Schizosaccharomyces pombe: one gene and its partners. Changing the gene in region 1 together with any one later gene gives a genetic interaction. Each region holds a gene or a part of one and is shown on either strand. Other genes may lie near its edges.

Region 1 (4,572 bases):
GAAAAGTAGGTGGTAGTTTTTTACAACATAAGTTACGCACTTTAATAAAAAATGATTAAACGCCTATGCTTTATTTTAAAATGTTTAAAAAAAAAAAAAAAAAAAAAAGGAAAATTGCATATACATATTATTATTAAATCAATATTATTGAATGAAGAAAGGACTGTACGACTTGCTTGTAAATCCGTGAAATTCAGTTACGTTGAATTACTGGTTTCCAATGCTTTATGCTAGAATGATTCGGTTTTTTAAGAATTATTTACATAATATTTTAATAATAAATACATACATATATATCTGTTTACGCGTTCACTGCCTGCTCTTATCGGAACATAGGAAAACTTATTAAAAAAATATTAGAAAACATTAAACATACAATACTTTTTTATTATAAAGTGGTAAAAGCGAAATTATCAATAATAGAAAAACTGCTTTCGTAGAAAACCAATACAACATTTACAATGAATTAGTTTTTTAAATAAAATAGAAGTTGAGAAGTTGCTAATTAGTATCCACTTAATGATGAAAACAATATTATTTGAAGTCTCTAAAATGAAAAGTATTCAAATTTTTAAAAAATTTTAAAACATTCTCGCTCGTTTACACAGACTGCAGTCTTTCAATAAACATAAGCGAATGCACAATTTTGCCAGATGCCTTGCCCATGTCCATCAGTATAGGTATTAGGATGACAAGATCGATTTAGTACACAAACAAGAGAACGAATGAATTTCAGAGCTTGTAGCACAAGACCATTAACAAGAATCATATTCAATATGAGAGCAGCACAACTATCAAGTTCAGAGTATAAGTGATAAGTCTATATGAAGTTATTTTAATAAAACGAAAAATAGTATGAAAAAAAAATTCGAAGACACGAAATTAAAAACAACAGGACAAAAAAAAGGAAAAAAAGAATACAAAACCAGAGAGTTTAATATAGAAAAGCTCTGAAAAAAAGATGGATGCACGTTCACTCTTTGTTTAAGCCCAAAATGCATCGAATTATTTATGCTTGAATATTTTTGTTAAAAGATGCTTATGAAATAAAAGTAGTCTCATTAAAAAGCGTGGCTTCATCTTCAATAACCTCGTCACCCATCTTCAGTGTAAATTTGACAGGTGAGAAATATTGGTAGATGAAAGGTTTCGTTCCAGAGACTCCATGGACGAAACCCTTAAGCCAAGATGGTATCTCGGCAAGAACGTCGATGCGTTGAAGACGTCTTCCCAAAGGAGCATCGACTGAAAGATGAATATCTTCGGTGTATGTTTCAGCATCCTTTCCGTCCCATTCGTAGGAAATGCGAGTGGGTTCATGCCATTCCGTATCGGGATCGAGTGTGGTCTCAACGTGCTCAATAGTATTATCGACAGTTGCACTAATAATTTTGTCTTTCATAGCGATACCACCAATATTGACAATAGTAGAACCATAGCTAGGGGGTGTCTTGAACTGCATCATGATGGCGGTAAACTTTTTATGCTGCAAGAGGGCAAACTCCCAAGATGAAGCAAGATGGTGGGGTTTGCCATTTTGGAGTGCATGAACAAACATGCCGGGACCAGTGACATCCACAACTCTACCCCTTGCAACGATGCTACCTTCAACACGAGTGCGAGGCCAAAAGGTATGCTTCATGGAAGCCCAGGGCTTACTAGGATCTGTTCCATAAGTAGAATTTCCATCTTCACCGATTTTAAAAGGAGGAGCGTCTTGATGGACAGTTATATCGATGATGGAGTCCATGTTGATGGAGGCACGAATTCGGTAACGCTTTTGGTCTTCCAACACGACAGAGCAATTTTTGGCGACAAAGGAGGTTTTGTCATTTTCAAAGCTAAATTGATCCATGTTGGTAGAAGTCCACAAATCGTTTTCAGGATGCTTCAAATCGAAAATGCGACACGTAGATTGAGCGGTGGTTGTCCAAGAACCCAAGTTGGAATGTATCAATTGAACAAAGCACATATAGTCACCCTCATTTGGCTTGATATAAAAGACTTGCGTTTCCACATGGCTGGAAGAGGGAGTGCTCCATTTGAAGTCGTCGGCTTCAAGCCTATGGAAAGGATTAATGCCCTGAACGGATGCAGTGACGGGTTGGATAGCCTCAGGACCATAAACGGGTTCCGCTGTGCCAGTATAGTAGGATATGCTAAAATCGAGTTAGAAATAATAAAAAACAGTAAAAACAAGTTATTAGAATAGACAACTGAATGTTTTGTAAGACAACACGAAAAAAATGGATTCAAATAGCAGATGTCTGATAGATGAAAAAAACGGAAAAGAAAAAAGAATTTTGTTTTTTGCTCATCGAATTTAAAAAAAAATTTTTAAGACAAAAAAAATAATCGAAAACATGAAGGAAATGTCAGTGAATACATATCGATATCCAATTATTAGTCGATTATATTACCGTTTTTATTCATAGGACAAACACTCGATCCGTTTTTAGGGGTCCATATTTTTACAACCTCTAATCAAGCCAAAGAGTACCAAAAATTGAACATACACATTGTAAATCACTGTATAAATCCATTCTTTTGCGTTTGAATTACAAATCCTCGCTGAAACGAAGAAAAAAGCACTCGGCAGCGATCGAATCCAAATGTCCAGTTGTACTTACCTAGATTGTAGCCAGGCCTTCATGATTAATTAAAATGAAAAATGAGAAAATGAAAAAGCTAGGAACACACAAAGCAAAAGATAGGCGACCAGCAAACGGAGAGAGGACACGTTAATGGCCTAAAAAATAGGACAAAGAAAATGTTGGTAAAGGATAACTAAGATGAGCTGGGAAAACAAAAGCACTTAGTGCAATTCGTTACGGAACCGAAGCAGCCAAAAAAATGGAATGATGATTGTTTAGTGATTGACGTAATGCAAAACGCTATAATACTTTTATGAGATACAACGTATAAGAAGGTGGTTTTAGCATTGTCTTGGGTTCCTCATCATTCCGTATGCTCCCGTTGTCGTAGTGGAACATAATTTCTGTTAAACATTATTACGCATAGAAAAATTAAATACCTTATTAAATAATTGTGTACTATTTCATAGGTTTTGTTGTATGAGAATAAAGCTTTCGGTGGTTGAAGATCGATAATGATCTAATAACGAAAATTTTTAAAGTGTAGAACATACATGTTAAAGCATATAGCGGAATACTTTATTTTATTTACAGAGCGGACAAATGTTAATTTCGGAAAACTGCCTAGATAGTAGCAGGCCGACGCTAGACATATACCGGGGAACTATGGAAAATCACAATTAAACATTGTTCCACCTTACGTATACAGAAGAAAGTTCGAAGAATTTATGTAAGTTTCACTTTGTTTAAGTAATGATTTGTAAAAAACATCAAGCTTTCCGTTTTCCAACGACGTTTGGTATCGGCGTGTGACATAGCGAGAGTGTAAACAGAGATGGATAAACGAGTAATTATCTGCGCAGAAAAGCACGATTCTCTTGTTTATTAGTGCTGAAGAGACCCACATTCTGTGGATCTACACATTCAATATCAGACCCTTAGCCTGAATGAATCCAGGTATGGCACTGTCTTAACGAATTAGCTCCCATTCATCCTACACGCTTCCGTTGGGCTGGAAATTGCCTCGTAGGGTGCAGACGCCCATGAAAATTTACCTGCCGTACACGAAATATTGAAGTTGACCATGGTGATGTTGCCCGAGACGAAAATTGATGTTTTATTTACATCGGCACGAGATTAGATAGCTGGCAAAGAAGATGCGGCTGTTTTATCTAAGTCAAATAATATAACTATATACACGTATAAAGTGATACACGATATAAATATAATAATATAGAAGAAAACTATGTTAACGTAGTACTTAATTGTAATTAGTAAATCGCAACGTTTCATTTATTGTTTACAAGCAAAAGACCAAGTGATTTCCATGGAAATAGCACATCGAGAGAAAAACCAATAAAAGTATTTTGCAAATAAAATAAAAAATGATGAAGTATTTATGTTATAGCTTTTCAGAGAAGAGAAGAAAAGAGAATGAACTGCTAAGTAGGATATAGCAAACAACACGAGTATTTTTACCATCTCATTTCCATACAAAAATACCATGTCAATGTCGATAAAACGAGAGCTGTAAACTCTTTTATTTCATCATCTCTAAACACTGGCATTCTTCCACTTTATTTCCTTCTTTCGCTTTGCCTTTTCCAATGCTAAGGTACATGTTACCTAAACAGTTGTTTACATAGTATACTTTTGGATGGGTATTTTAATAGGTACTTTTCCACCACGAAGAAGACCAACTCTCCATGAAACGGAAAATCATGTAAAGAAAAAGAATTGGAGATGCGGTAAAGGTATTAAATGTTTTTTCAAACCTAGTGATCAAGTTTATTTAGTTGGCCAAGTTGATTGTCGGTTTTTACTCCACCACAATGCGAAAAACAAACAATTTCCCCTAATATTTGTTACTAATTTTATAACCAGCTTGCCCAATTTTCAGTTTCCTCTGTTCTTTTTCGTGTCTTTGCTGCATTTGTATAGGCGACCACGAAATCAGATATCGACGCGTAAATATACT
Region 2 (3,428 bases), on another chromosome or scaffold:
TTACAACATCACCCGATTTCAAAGCGAGATTGGCTTCGGGATCACTTTTTAAAGGAGATAAATGAGCAGCCATATCATTAGGAGATACAGCGGTAGGGAAAGCAATACCTTTATAAGCATCCTTGGTACGATATACTTTCTTGATAGCTTCGTTCAATAGTTCATCACCACGAACGCAAATATCGTATATTTTGGCTCCAGGTTGGCATAATTCTACCACTTTTTTAATAACATTTTGAGAAACTTCGCCTGCAATTTTATATTTATTGACGGTTTCAGGATTACTCAAAGAATAATCGACAGCAGTCTCTGAAGTTGCTTCTTTAGTCGACATATTGTCTATGATGTAGCTAAATCTGGCTACAAATTCAAGAACTTGGTGCTAGGATTTTGCAAGTCACAAAATTGTGGACTCCAAACTCATGAATAACATGGCTCATATTGAATCCTATGATATAACTAAATAGTAATGCTATTAAAATTTACACATATTACCCAGACACAATATAATGTATGAGTTTTTAAAAAATACAATAGAACAATTTACTAAATTCCTGATATAAATTTCTCCAAATAATATCATTCACCTATTAAACTGTAACCGATTTCCATTTTGTTCGTTTTTTTAAGTAGCAAACATCTAATCATAAAAGTCTTGCTCAGCATCATCGGAGTAAGCAAATTCATCATTTTCACTGCTATCTTGCCATTCGTCTTCATCGGGATAGCTATTTTGATAGAAGCTTTCAGCGTTTGAATCCTCATCAATTTCATCATGTAATGGATCATCTTTATCAGAGTCCACTGTCTCGGAGACTAGTTCCTGTTCTAATGAAGAACGAAAAGCGTCTGGGATGGACAAAGCATCAATTACACCATAAGCAAACGTTGGCTTGTTTGGTTCTTTGCTAGATGCTTCATAAATATCGTATACGTAGTCTTCCGTAGATTGCTGAAGAGGAAGGTCTCCATTTGACAAATATTCTTGAATCATAGAATCTAGCTGAGGATGCGGATGATACGTAGTATGTCTATGAATGTTAGTTAAGGTAAAAAAAGCCAAGAGCCAGTTCTTATAACAACAGAACTAAGTAATTGACTCTATTTGATGTTGACATACCCTTGTTCGACACGGATAGCGTCGAACACTCTATTACTTTGAGTAGAAGGTAAATTCTGAATTGTATAGCGTGGGGATGAGAAAGAAAGAATACCTTTTGTATTTTCACGGGATCCCAAGTCCATGTGCGTAGGTGCTTTCACAACGTCTTCAGAAGTTTGGACGACAGGGATTCCGTAATTGTTCTTTTTTAGAGATGATATTTTTGTATGACTGTGGATATTTCGAACGTCTTCATGAGTGGGTTCCGAAGATTCATCATTTATCTGAATATACCGATCATCTTGCTTCAGCGTTTGTGATAGTTTAAAATCTAGAAACTGTCAATAAAAGGTAATTGTGTTTTTCAAATGATTAGTCCTTGTGTAATATTCCAACACAAAAGCTCAAGAAGTAGCATACAATATCGTCCGGCGAATTTCCTTCTTTTCGTACTTGAAACAGAATTTGGATTGTTTCCAAGTTCCAAATCTAAATTATTAAGGAGTTAGATAAAGAAAGTTTACTTAGAAGCTTGGTCGTACATAGGGCGTTAACAGGATCTTCTGAAGCTTTACGCTTAACTCGAAGTACTGGAAGAGGCATCTTCGTATCACAATTTAATAACGAGAGTTAGACGACTCTTTAAAAAAGGAATTAATATAACCAGCAAAATCTACGGTTGGGGGATGGCAAGTCTGCAATGTAAAAAAGGTAGATATAAAAGTAGCTCTTCGACTGAAAGACAGCAACTTCAGTATAACTTGGATTGAAGTAGTATTACAACAACGCAATCTTATCTTTCAAAATGTAAAATATTCTATAGTTTTATTATTTTAAAATAAAAAATCGTGAAGTTCATTATTTATATCATTGTCATCACTTAACAAAAAGAACTTTTCTATAATAAATAATGTTGAGCAAACAATGAAGCAAAAATATTCAATAAGTCTAATTACACAAATTCACAACTTAAAGATGCCCCACAACAATTAATTCCACTCAAAAGAACCGATGATATAAATGTATACTTTGACGATTAACAAAGATTGGTCTAATCAAGCAATTATCTCATGTAATACATTCAGGAAAAATGTATTTTGTATTGTTTTAATTAAATTCAAAAGAGGGTACAGTCAATCTCTACTGCTGCAATCTGTACGAGAATTGTCTTTTTTAAACAAAACTTCGAGAACTAGTTTGGATGCTTTTTTTTTTTTTTTTTTTTTTCACATTTATTTCTCTCTTCTGAAAAATATATCTTAATCAACGATCGTATGAAAATGAGGTCTTTGTAACATTTGACATATATCTTCTACACACCCAACTGGTACCAACAACAGCATATGGATGGAACTTCTCAAGCTTTTAAAATTATTGTAGCTACAATAATTATAGGAGCTATTATATCTACCCTAGGAATTTTTTTTACTAGAAAGACAATTCAAAAGAAGTTACCAGCAGTGTTTTTAATTGGACCTAGCGATTCTGGAAAAACGTCTTTGTTTTGTGAGGTATAACAATAATATACAATCTTTGAATACTTATTAACTGTTATATAGCTAATTTATAAAGAAAAGAAAACTACAGTTCCTAGCATTGAACCTAATGAAGCTGTGTGGAAATATGGTGCTTGGTTAGTAGATCTTCCAGGGCATCCCAGGGCCAAACGTTGGATTACTACTAAATTCTCTGGAAATTATAATGTAAAAGCTGTAGTTTTCGTTCTCAACAGTGCTACAATTGACAGGGATGTGCACGAGGTTGGATTGATGTTGTTTGACACAATTTTAAAATGTCGCAAGCATCATGTCCCTCATCTATTAATTGCCTGTAATAAATTTGATCTTTTTACTGCTCAACCTGCGGAAAAAATTCAACAATTGTTAAAAGCTGAACTGCACAATATTTTGGAAGAGAAAAATCTTCAACTCGAATCTATAGTCTCTGAAGATGTCGATTGGGAATCAGTTGCAGATCAGATTGAAGATACTGATCTTAAATTCCTTCCTGGCAGCGTTGCAAAAATGTCGAACATTGAAGAATGGATTTCATGGATGGAATCAGCTTTACAATAAAGATGCATTAATTATTCACAATTGATAATTTACAAGTAACCAACCAAAAAAGATATATTTTTGCATGTCTAGAATAAGCTATCGTTTTATTTCAAAAATTCGTAATCTTGTGTGAATACTGTAAAATACTTAAAAAAATTAACAGGGTTGTTGACAAACTGATTCGTAAAGTACTTGTACTTAGGGACAGCTTGGGTAAAAAAAAACAAGAGAAACATTAATATTAGTATAAGAATATCAAGAAAAGAACA
Region 3 (4,315 bases), 1.2 Mb from region 1:
TGTCCGTTTACAAAAATAAAGAAGTAAAGCAGTGTAACTAAAGGGGAAAACATTGAGTTTTATGGTAAAAGATCCTATGTTCCATTAAACATCGAAAAAGGTTTGTTGGCTTTGAATTTGAATGAAGTTACATGCAGTTAAGTTAGCGAAACGATCGATTGGAAATTCCTAAACAATCGGTATGGTATGGGATGGGACTAAATAATTGGAGGAACTTGCTATAAGGTAATTAATAATATAAAGAAGCCGATAATATACAGTATGGTAATAGAAACAAAGCAATGAATCTTGCTCAGTCATTACTAGTTTGCTCTCTAGGGTTAAATTAGTTGGATCAGTAATTTTCAATCGAAACAAAAATATTTAAATAAATACGAATTATGCTTTACTTAGATTTATTATTGTTTTATTTTTATTTATTGCTCTTTTCATCTTTTTTAGAAGTTTTATTGTCTTTCATGTTTGGAATAGAATTTTTTCCCATTAAGCGGCAGTACTAAAAAAAAATTATTTCGATGTCTTTTAAAACCTGAATGATACTATTATATCTCTTTAAACTACTTTTATTTCTAGCACTTGCCATGTTGTTTTGTAATATTGGCTTTACCAGCCATTTGACTTTTTCTTTGTTTACACTAACATCACCGCACCAAAGCGTCAAGAATTTACTGCAGAATTTTACCAAAGAATGTAGAAACTAATTTTCTTTGGAAATTCGGGATTGCATCGATGCACAAGTCACTGACTTCTATAAATACAATTGTTTAGCAAGCTCCCTTTTTTTATTTTCAATAACAGGTAACACGTTTGGCAGGTAACAAGGAGACAATTAATCCATCACTCCAGAAACATATTAGCATTCCCCCCCGATTTAAACCTGGCCTTAACTTACCACCAATTTTTTTTTGCTTAAGGCAATTGGTTTTGTGTTTGTTAACATTCTAATTGTAAGACCTTGACGAAAAACTGGTTTTAAAGGATTTTTTACTGAGCTAATTTATTCGTTTATACGGGCTTTGTTCATTTCGCTTTTGGTAATCTCACTTTTTTTTGGTTTCCAGAGGCATTTTTAAATTTCAATACTTTTTCTTGAGTTTTTGATTTTTGCTTTCTTTTTAGTTTTGCGTTGACAAGTACTGAATTGTAATCTTTATCGTGGATTTAATTAGATTCAAGTGATTTTTAACACCTACATTGCCAAGTAGTATTAAAGTATTCATTTCATTGGTTTGGACTAGTTATATACTTCAAACTGGTGTTTACTTCCTTCTTTCGCTTCTTTTTCTTTCTAAACTTTGCTATATTTTGCCTTCGTTCGTTAGGTTACTATTTATTTACAAATTGAACCTTTTCATATAGGTTCTCTACAGGGATTTTCTTACCATTACTTATTGTAACAGATTTCTTAGTTGAGAGAATATTTTCACTTGGGGGGGTTTTTTTTCTTTTTAATTCACCACACGTATCTAGGTTTTCTACATTCTCTTGGATACAATCTCTTTTATTGCACAGAATCTTCTTTGATTTTCGTCTAATATTCCTACTGTCGGTTCTTTTACCCTTCCTGTTTCTACTTTTTAAAAGCTCTCATATATCACTCATCACCATCCTTTCTCTAATTTTATCTTTCGTTCACTGCTTAATTTTGCATTTCTAAGGAAATTCTCCGTTCCTTTATCATTTTATTTTATTTTGTCTCTTCTATATTATTAGTTTACTCTTGATTATTTGACAATGCGGTTCGCTCCTTATTTAATTAGTGCTGTTGTAATTACAACCATAATCCTGGGTGGAGCTTGGTGGACTTCAGCTATGGATACCAAGCTTCAAACGAAGATGAAGGAGATCATCGACCAACACACGAGTACTTGGACCCCAGTCGTTTCCTCCGTAACCAGTACCCAAACTGATACTTTACGTGTTACCATTAGTGAAGTTGTTAGTGTTACTGCCACTTTAACCGAAACTTTCACTGCTACTCCAACTGTCACTTCTGTAGTTCATGCTTTAGCTACCACTGATCCTCATCCGGATAACTCTAAAATCGTCATTTTGATGGGCTCTAACTTTCAAAATGATGCTAACTCTCCTCTCCATCCTTTCGCTCAGTCCATTATCAAAAATCGTCGTGAATATGCTGAACGCCATGGTTACAAATTCGAATTCTTAGATGCCGATGCCTATGCTTCTCGTGTTACAGGTCATTTAATGCCCTGGGTTAAGGTCCCTATGCTTCAAGATACGATGAAGAAATATCCTGACGCTGAATGGATTTGGTGGCTTGATCATGACGCGTTGGTCATGAACAAAGATCTTAACGTCGTCGACCATGTGCTTAAGCACGACCGATTGAATACCATTTTAACTAGGGAGGCTGAATATAAGAGTGGTGCAGGTATCCCCGCCGATGGATTTAGAACTCCAAAGGATCAGGATGCTAAGGATGTTCATTTCATCATCTCTCAAGATTTTAATGGTATTAACGCTGGCAGTCTTTTTATTCGTAATAGCGAAGTTGGCCGCTGGATTGTTGATTTGTGGTTTGAACCCTTATATTTGGATCATATTCAGGGATATGCTGAGCAACAAGCGTTTTCTCACATGGTATTTTACCATCCCCAGGTGTATAAACATGTAGGTGTTGTCCCACTTAAGGCTATAAACGCATATGATTTTGATGATAATATTTGGGGCTATGACGACGGGGACTTGTGTATCCATTTTGCTGGATGTAACTATTTTAAGAATTGTCCCGAGAAGTTCCTTAAGTATGCTCAAATTTTATCTTCTAAACAAGGATCCGATTGGATGTCTGCTCAAGAAAAGGATCATATTCAAAATCTTTTGAAACCATCATCCTAGTTTTTTTCAGTCACGCATGGAAAAATACCTTGTACTTTAGACTGGTTTAATTTCATGATATTTGTCATTTTACTCAAGAACAACGTCTGTCCAGTATGTTGGTAGTTTTCTCAATTTTTTATTATCGGGGATAAGCAAACTCCTTCTTTCATTACTAATCAAGTCATTTAATTATCCTCCCCTCCTTAGTGAACACCTTAATAGTTTCTCCCTTTTCATGATTTCATGAGCTTAGTATCATTACGTTCAGGACCTTCTAATTTCGTGTTGGAGGATTTTAGTGTTGTCTAATCTATTTCCTTTTCTAAAGTCAAGTTTTGTATCGTACTTTAAGTACAAAGTTCGAGTTTTGCTGTTACGCTTCAAACCGTTTTATTTAATTTTTAAACCCCAGCCTTTCTTGGAGTAAAATGTTAGTAGATGACAAACTTGTTAGGGGTTTGAATGAATTTTCATACGCAGAATGCTGCTTTCTTTAAAATCGGGATGATTTGAAATGTTATTTGAAATGTTGAGTTTTTTGTAGCCTACATTACGATTGTACGGCTTATAGGACAGTGAAGCTATTAAATACTTGATCTAATATGACCGATTACAAGAAAGTCCTTGATAATTTTTCTGCACTTCTTTTGAAGTTGGCAACTTTATGTACAGTATGATGCTCTATCTTTCTAAATAAAGTTATGTCAGGAGTCTTATGGAAATAAAATTTGCAATTCGTCGTAATGAAATCCATTTGAGTGATAATGGCTTTTGAAATTAAAGCATATATTTTTTTTATGCAAAAACAATGAATGAAATATTTGTAAACTGACCAAATCTATAAACCACTGCTTGAAAATTAAACGATTCGAATTTTACTCCTTTGTTCATTGTATCCAAGAACGGCACAACCCCTATATTTGGGTACTATCATTTTTTTACTTTCAAATGGGACGCAATTAAGACCGATTGATTGAATTCTATTAAATTATTATTATATATTAATTTTAAAAATAGTTAGCTTCGTTGTTCTAATTTAAATTATCATTGTTTGATTACAAAAAGTGAAGTGTGTTATTTAAGAAATCAATGTTCCCTCATCGAGTCTCTCATTTATCGAAACTATTTTCGAGAAGGTTTCCCAATTGGAAAAGAAAAGTCCAAACAGATTCTTGGTCCAATGTCCCAGAGCATATTCACTCAAAAATTGGTCGAAACCTTTTTCAAAAAGAAGGTCATCCCATATGCAGTCTACGACAACTTCTCGAACAGCAATTTCAAAAATTCGAAATGAATAATGTTCAAAAAGAATCACCTATTGTTTCTGTAGAGACGAATTTTGATTCTTTAGGATTTCCCAAGACACATGTAAGTAGAAGCAAATCCGATACTTACTATATGAACAATAAAACTTGTCTTCGAACCCATACCTCGGCTCATCAACCTGAAGAGTTCTCTCGCTTGGCCAAAG
Region 4 (4,772 bases), on another chromosome or scaffold:
CCCCTTGGACGTTCTTCTTCTAACGCTACTAATACTTCTACAAAGCGTCCTTTAACCTCTAATACCTATCCGTCCATTCCTCTTCCTCCAAAGTCTTTCACCTCTCAGAATTTTAAATCGTTCAACGCCGTCAAAACTCAACCTTCATCTTCCTCCTCTCCATCAATCTCTCGCCCTACGTCTTTTCCCATGTCCTTTTTTCCAAATCCTTCGAGGTTTTCTAGTCAAGTTCCTAAACGAATTTAATGAGTTAACTTTTTCCTTTCTCTTTCTTTTTTTGTTTACTAGTCTGTATATTCTTTTTTTTTCTGCTATTGATTTCCTTGGTCCGCCTTATTTTCTCCTCTTCTCCCCTTCCTCCTCTTTACTTTTTAATTGATTGGGTTTGTTCTCTTTATTTTTTGGGTGTTGGTTGATGATTTGCATGCTTTCCAGGTTTCTTGTCCATTACCGTGTTATGACTTACTTAGCTATAATTAATTTACTGTTTTAATCTTATTTAACACTTCATGTCTTTTACTGTATAAAATGTAGTTAACTTCGTTTACATATTTTATCCAGATTCATAGATAAAAGAATTTGATTTTATTTATCCTCGCCAGCTATATTATTATTATTTAAGTCTATGCTATTCCATTAAGTTTTTATAGTCATGGTTGGCTGTTGAGATAGACAGAATTTCTTATATTGTGAAATTGTTCCATCAAACTTGGAGACGACATTATGGTCACACTGCCAAATACTGGTACATGTCTTGTCCAAGAAATCAACATCGTGAGAAACAAGAATCACACCACCTTGGAAGCGTTTAACAGCTCTTGTCAAGGCATCCATGGACTCCATATCCAGATGGTTGGTGGGTTCATCTAGAATAAGAATGTGAGGGTTTTGTAGACCTAGGCATGCGAACGCAACACGAGATTTCTGACCACCAGAAAGCGTGATCATTTTTTGCAATGCAAGAGGTCCACTAACACCAAAAGCGCCAAGATGACGACGGTATTCTTCTTCACCTTTGCCAGGAAATGTCTTAGCTAAAAAGCTTAAGGCATTCAAGTTTAAGTCCAAAGTATCGACATGATGTTGTGCAAAGTATGCAATACGAAGTCGGGGGTGCCGACTAACTATACCAGATGTTGGATGAAGTTGTTCGATAAGAAGCTTAAGCATTGTTGATTTACCAGCACCGTTGGGACCAACCACACCGATACGAGAATCCATTTGAACATCAATATCAACATGTTTGAGAATAGGGTGACCTGGAACATACTCAAAATTGACATCAGACATTTGTAAGATAGGAGGAGATATTTTTTCCACAGGTGGAAATTCAAACTCAACTTCTTCCTCAGTTTGAGGCTTTTCAAGGATCGGCAGTTTTTCCAACTTCTTAATACGACTTTGTGCTTCGGATGATTTGGCAGCATTATAACGAAATTTGTCAATGAATGATTGCAAATGTTTGCGGTATTCCATTTGCTTTTCATATTCACGAAGTTGATTTTTGCAACGTTCTTCACGAGTAGCATAGAATTGACTAAAATTACCCTTATAGTAATCCAAGCGCTCAGAGTGTTGATGAATAATATCAGTAGCAACTTCATTCAAGAAAGAACGATCGTGTGAAACGACTAAAACGATATTTTTATAAGTTTGTAAATATTCAGATAAGAAAGCAATTGAGGGAACGTCAAGCATGTTCGAAGGTTCATCCAAAAGTAGTAAATCTGGTTGACAAAACAGAGCACGTGCCAATGACAAACGCATACGCCAACCACCTGAAAAAGTCTTGGTAGCATGGCTTTGCATTTCTTGAGTAAATCCAAGACCAGCTAAAATAGTAGCAGCGCGTGATTCTGCTCTATCAGAGTCCATCTCGGAAAGCTTATTTTGAATATCTAACAACCGTAAATCAAGTTCGTCTCGTTCACGCTCAAGGCGACGGGAAATAGCTTGATCAGCAGTTTGGTCTTTACTAAGTTCTTCCAATTCTTTTTCAATCGTTGATAGACGATTAGTTATCTTTTCCTGGTCCTGAATCAAATACTTGCGCCAAACATCGGCATCCAAAACTGACTGTAGGGCAGGTGTATCATCACCTGTCATTTCTTGCTCAACATGAAGAATGGTAATATGGGTAGGAATCGCAATTTCACGGCGAGAAAGAGCACGTAGAAGAGTAGATTTACCGATACCGTTGCGACCAGTTAAACCGTATCGTCTACCCTGTGCAAGTGTCAACGAAGCACCAGTCAATATACGATGACCAGCAAAAGCAAGATCAATTCCATCAATTTTAATATCTTTCGATTTTCCTTGGTTACTTCCGGATAAATCTAGAGGATTTACAGCCATGTAAAACTCTTCATAAGACTTTTGTTCGGGTTGAACCAACTTTGAAGATTCGTATTCTGCTTTGATAGTACGTTTCTCCCATTTGGCACGAATCTTCCGTTCAGCCTTCTCTAATTTTCTTCTATCTACCCTAGATTCAACCTTACGGCCCTTTACAGCATCTAATTCCATCTTTTCGCCAACCAAACCCATAGTTGACGAAATTTCGGATTGGGAATCCATTCGAATAGTCTCCTTCAAACGAACAAGTCCATTCGTTTGTAATGTATCTAGATGTTCCTCTCTTTCTTTAAATTGTTTCTCTAGTTCGTTTTGTATGAGCTGTACCGCTTCCTCACGAGCGCCAGCATCTAGCAATAAATTACGAATGAGAGAGATCGTATGGTCTGAAGCCTCATCTACATCTTTAATAGCATCATTAGCATATCCAGTGCAGTAGCTGAGGACATGAGGGTCTACTTCAGAGCAATTATTCTGAATGACTTGCTCCATGTTGGATGTGAGGTGGATAGTACTAAGCAAGTTATACTACTGCTATATATGAAGCCTCAATCGGCAAAACGATGAGACTAGGCATGAAAATATACTAAATACCTTATAATAGTGAATTATATATTTTTTTAAGAAAAAAAATTACAATTCCAAGAAAACTACTGTGAACTTTACTGATATTTTTAATGACCCACAGTAGACATCAAATTTTATCAAGCTAATCCTTATTGTTGAATAAAAGCAATTGTATTGAGTTGATATAAATTGAAAAAAAAAATCCAAATGTGAACTCAATAGAAATACTTTGCAAAGAGAAAAACATCTCAACTCAATGAAAGTGGTTTTCTATCAATCAAGGCAACAACTGTTTCGTGCCGTAATCGAAGAGACGACTAAGCATTGAATTCAGCTATGTTCAAAGACATTTAGAAAGCAGAAAAAGGATACGTTAACCTAGAATATAAATCATAGTGAGACGGGAGTTATAGAGATACATCCACGTTCGTGGTCAATCAAAAGAAGGATCAGACAAAGGCATGAAATAGATATAAAATCAAATCTCAACGACGTAGATGAAAATGTAAATTCATAATCGGAAAATAAAAGGCAAAATTTAATCAAAGTTAATTACCAAACATCTTCCAATTGAGCATAGGAAAAGCAGTGAATAAATTTAATGTTCTTTTTCATTCTCATACTGAAGGAAAAGTTAGCTGATGCAATGTAAAGGAAGAGATACATACTGATTCAAGAAAGTCAAATTTGTTGCTTTCTCCAGCAGCCTTAGTGGGAATGGTTTCTCCCTCATACTTGTAAGAGTTTAAAGCAGAAGTAAAGTCAACATCGTATTTTGGAGCAGTAGGAGCGCTAGGCATGGACCATTCCTTTACTTCAGCTGCCGTTTCGGAAGGGACAGCTTTAGGCTTATATGATTCTAAGACACGACGTGTAAGAAATTGGTAAATTAAGAGAATATAATAACATACTTAAAGAAGAAATATATAAACCCTGTACTACATCGACTAAATTGCCATTAGTAATCTCATCAAAATCAAAATGTCATTTCATACCGTAAAGACGAGGGGAGGTGGTCGAATAACTACGACTTAGTGATTTCTATATATTAGCTCCTAAATTCTTAAAAAAAGCAATGTATAACGTACCAAAATTCGAGACATTGTTCTTCCTTCACAATATATGTGGATGGTAGTGGTAACTCACTTAGGTAGCATGTATTGAGTAAGAAAGCCAGCATTGTCCGAAAGTACATTAAACATACTAAATCTAATAGCTAAAGTTTTAAATGCCCAAATAAACAATCGCTGAAATAGAAGGACTATTAGTCTCAAAAATTTCATCCAATTTACACCTCTACCAAAAATCTACAAAACAAAATTCAACTATACAAGAAAAAAAAGCGTAGGTACATACAGATATTGAAAGAGTTGGATTAACCAAAACAGGACGTAAAAAGCAAAACAAAACAAAAAAAAACAGGGAAAAGAGGAAAAGAAAATATACTTTCAGATTGAAACGGTTAACTCGTGAAATGTATAACAAGTTCAGTGGAATTACTGTCAAACTAACAGCAGCACATGATATGAAAAGTGATGAGAGGGGAGTTTTTGAAGGTAAAAATGCTTTTAATAAAAAATAAATAGCATCAAAAAAATTGTAAAAGTATTCCATGGGACTTTAAATATATACGACAAAACCAGTTCTAAAATGTGATTAAACTTCAACCGCAAGTCGAATGCAAGTTAAAATATGTATAGAAATGCATTCCGACGGGTTATCGACTCAATGGACAACAAAGACTTCGTAAAACTAGAATAAAACTATTTGCTTAATACTTTAGTTTCCCGAAATAATTCAAAAAGCGTAAAATTGCAAGAATTTATAAGAGCGCTTCGCATCAATGAAAT

What was found.
Region 2: mutations in svf1 (region 1) and iwr1 together harm fitness less than expected from each alone (positive genetic interaction), as found in Schizosaccharomyces pombe (one large-scale study listed by BioGRID).
Region 3: mutations in svf1 (region 1) and gma12 together harm fitness more than expected from each alone (negative genetic interaction), as found in Schizosaccharomyces pombe (one large-scale study listed by BioGRID).
Region 4: mutations in svf1 (region 1) and gcn20 together harm fitness more than expected from each alone (negative genetic interaction), as found in Schizosaccharomyces pombe (one large-scale study listed by BioGRID).

Annotation. Positions count from the first base shown.
Region 1 is NC_003421.2:1,510,544-1,515,115, forward strand, and holds svf1 (ER to Golgi ceramide transport protein, lipocalin superfamily Svf1), read right to left. Parts: upstream 2,779-4,572; 5' UTR 2,654-2,778; coding exon 2,631-2,653; exon of another isoform or gene 2,398-2,630; intron 2,160-2,397; coding exon 1,040-2,159; 3' UTR 501-1,039; downstream 1-500. Other genes in the region: protein mug42, read left to right, coding at 4,252-4,572. UniProt on the Schizosaccharomyces pombe protein: Ceramide-binding protein that may transfer ceramides from the endoplasmic reticulum membrane to the cis-Golgi network membrane, and is thereby required for the biosynthesis of complex sphingolipids.
Region 2 is NC_003424.3:1,592,750-1,596,177, forward strand, and holds iwr1 (RNA polymerase II nuclear import protein Iwr1), read right to left. Parts: upstream 1,791-3,428; 5' UTR 1,706-1,790; coding exon 1,645-1,705; intron 1,592-1,644; coding exon 1,523-1,591; intron 1,434-1,522; coding exon 1,121-1,433; intron 1,032-1,120; coding exon 641-1,031; 3' UTR 553-640; downstream 1-552. Other genes in the region: peptidase family curved DNA-binding protein Cdb4, read right to left, coding at 1-334; signal recognition particle receptor beta subunit Srp102, read left to right, coding at 2,446-2,613, 2,662-3,177. UniProt on the Schizosaccharomyces pombe protein: Directs RNA polymerase II nuclear import.
Region 3 is NC_003421.2:315,272-319,586, reverse strand, and holds gma12 (Golgi alpha-1,2-galactosyltransferase Gma12), read left to right. Parts: upstream 1-1,734; coding exon 1,735-2,862; 3' UTR 2,863-3,760; downstream 3,761-4,315. Other genes in the region: msf1 (phenylalanyl-tRNA synthetase), read left to right, coding at 3,934-4,315. UniProt on the Schizosaccharomyces pombe protein: Involved in the O- and N-linked oligosaccharide modification of proteins transported through the Golgi stack. This occurs in cis Golgi where the enzyme transfers galactose from UDP-galactose to a variety of mannose based acceptors.
Region 4 is NC_003423.3:2,053,578-2,058,349, forward strand, and holds gcn20 (AAA family ATPase Gcn20), read right to left. Parts: upstream 2,866-4,772; 5' UTR 2,848-2,865; coding exon 637-2,847; 3' UTR 564-636; downstream 1-563. Other genes in the region: atp14 (F1-ATPase subunit H), read right to left, coding at 3,521-3,544, 3,591-3,781, 3,834-3,869, 3,918-3,963, 4,011-4,025; ort1 (carboxylic acid transporter), read right to left, coding at 4,686-4,772.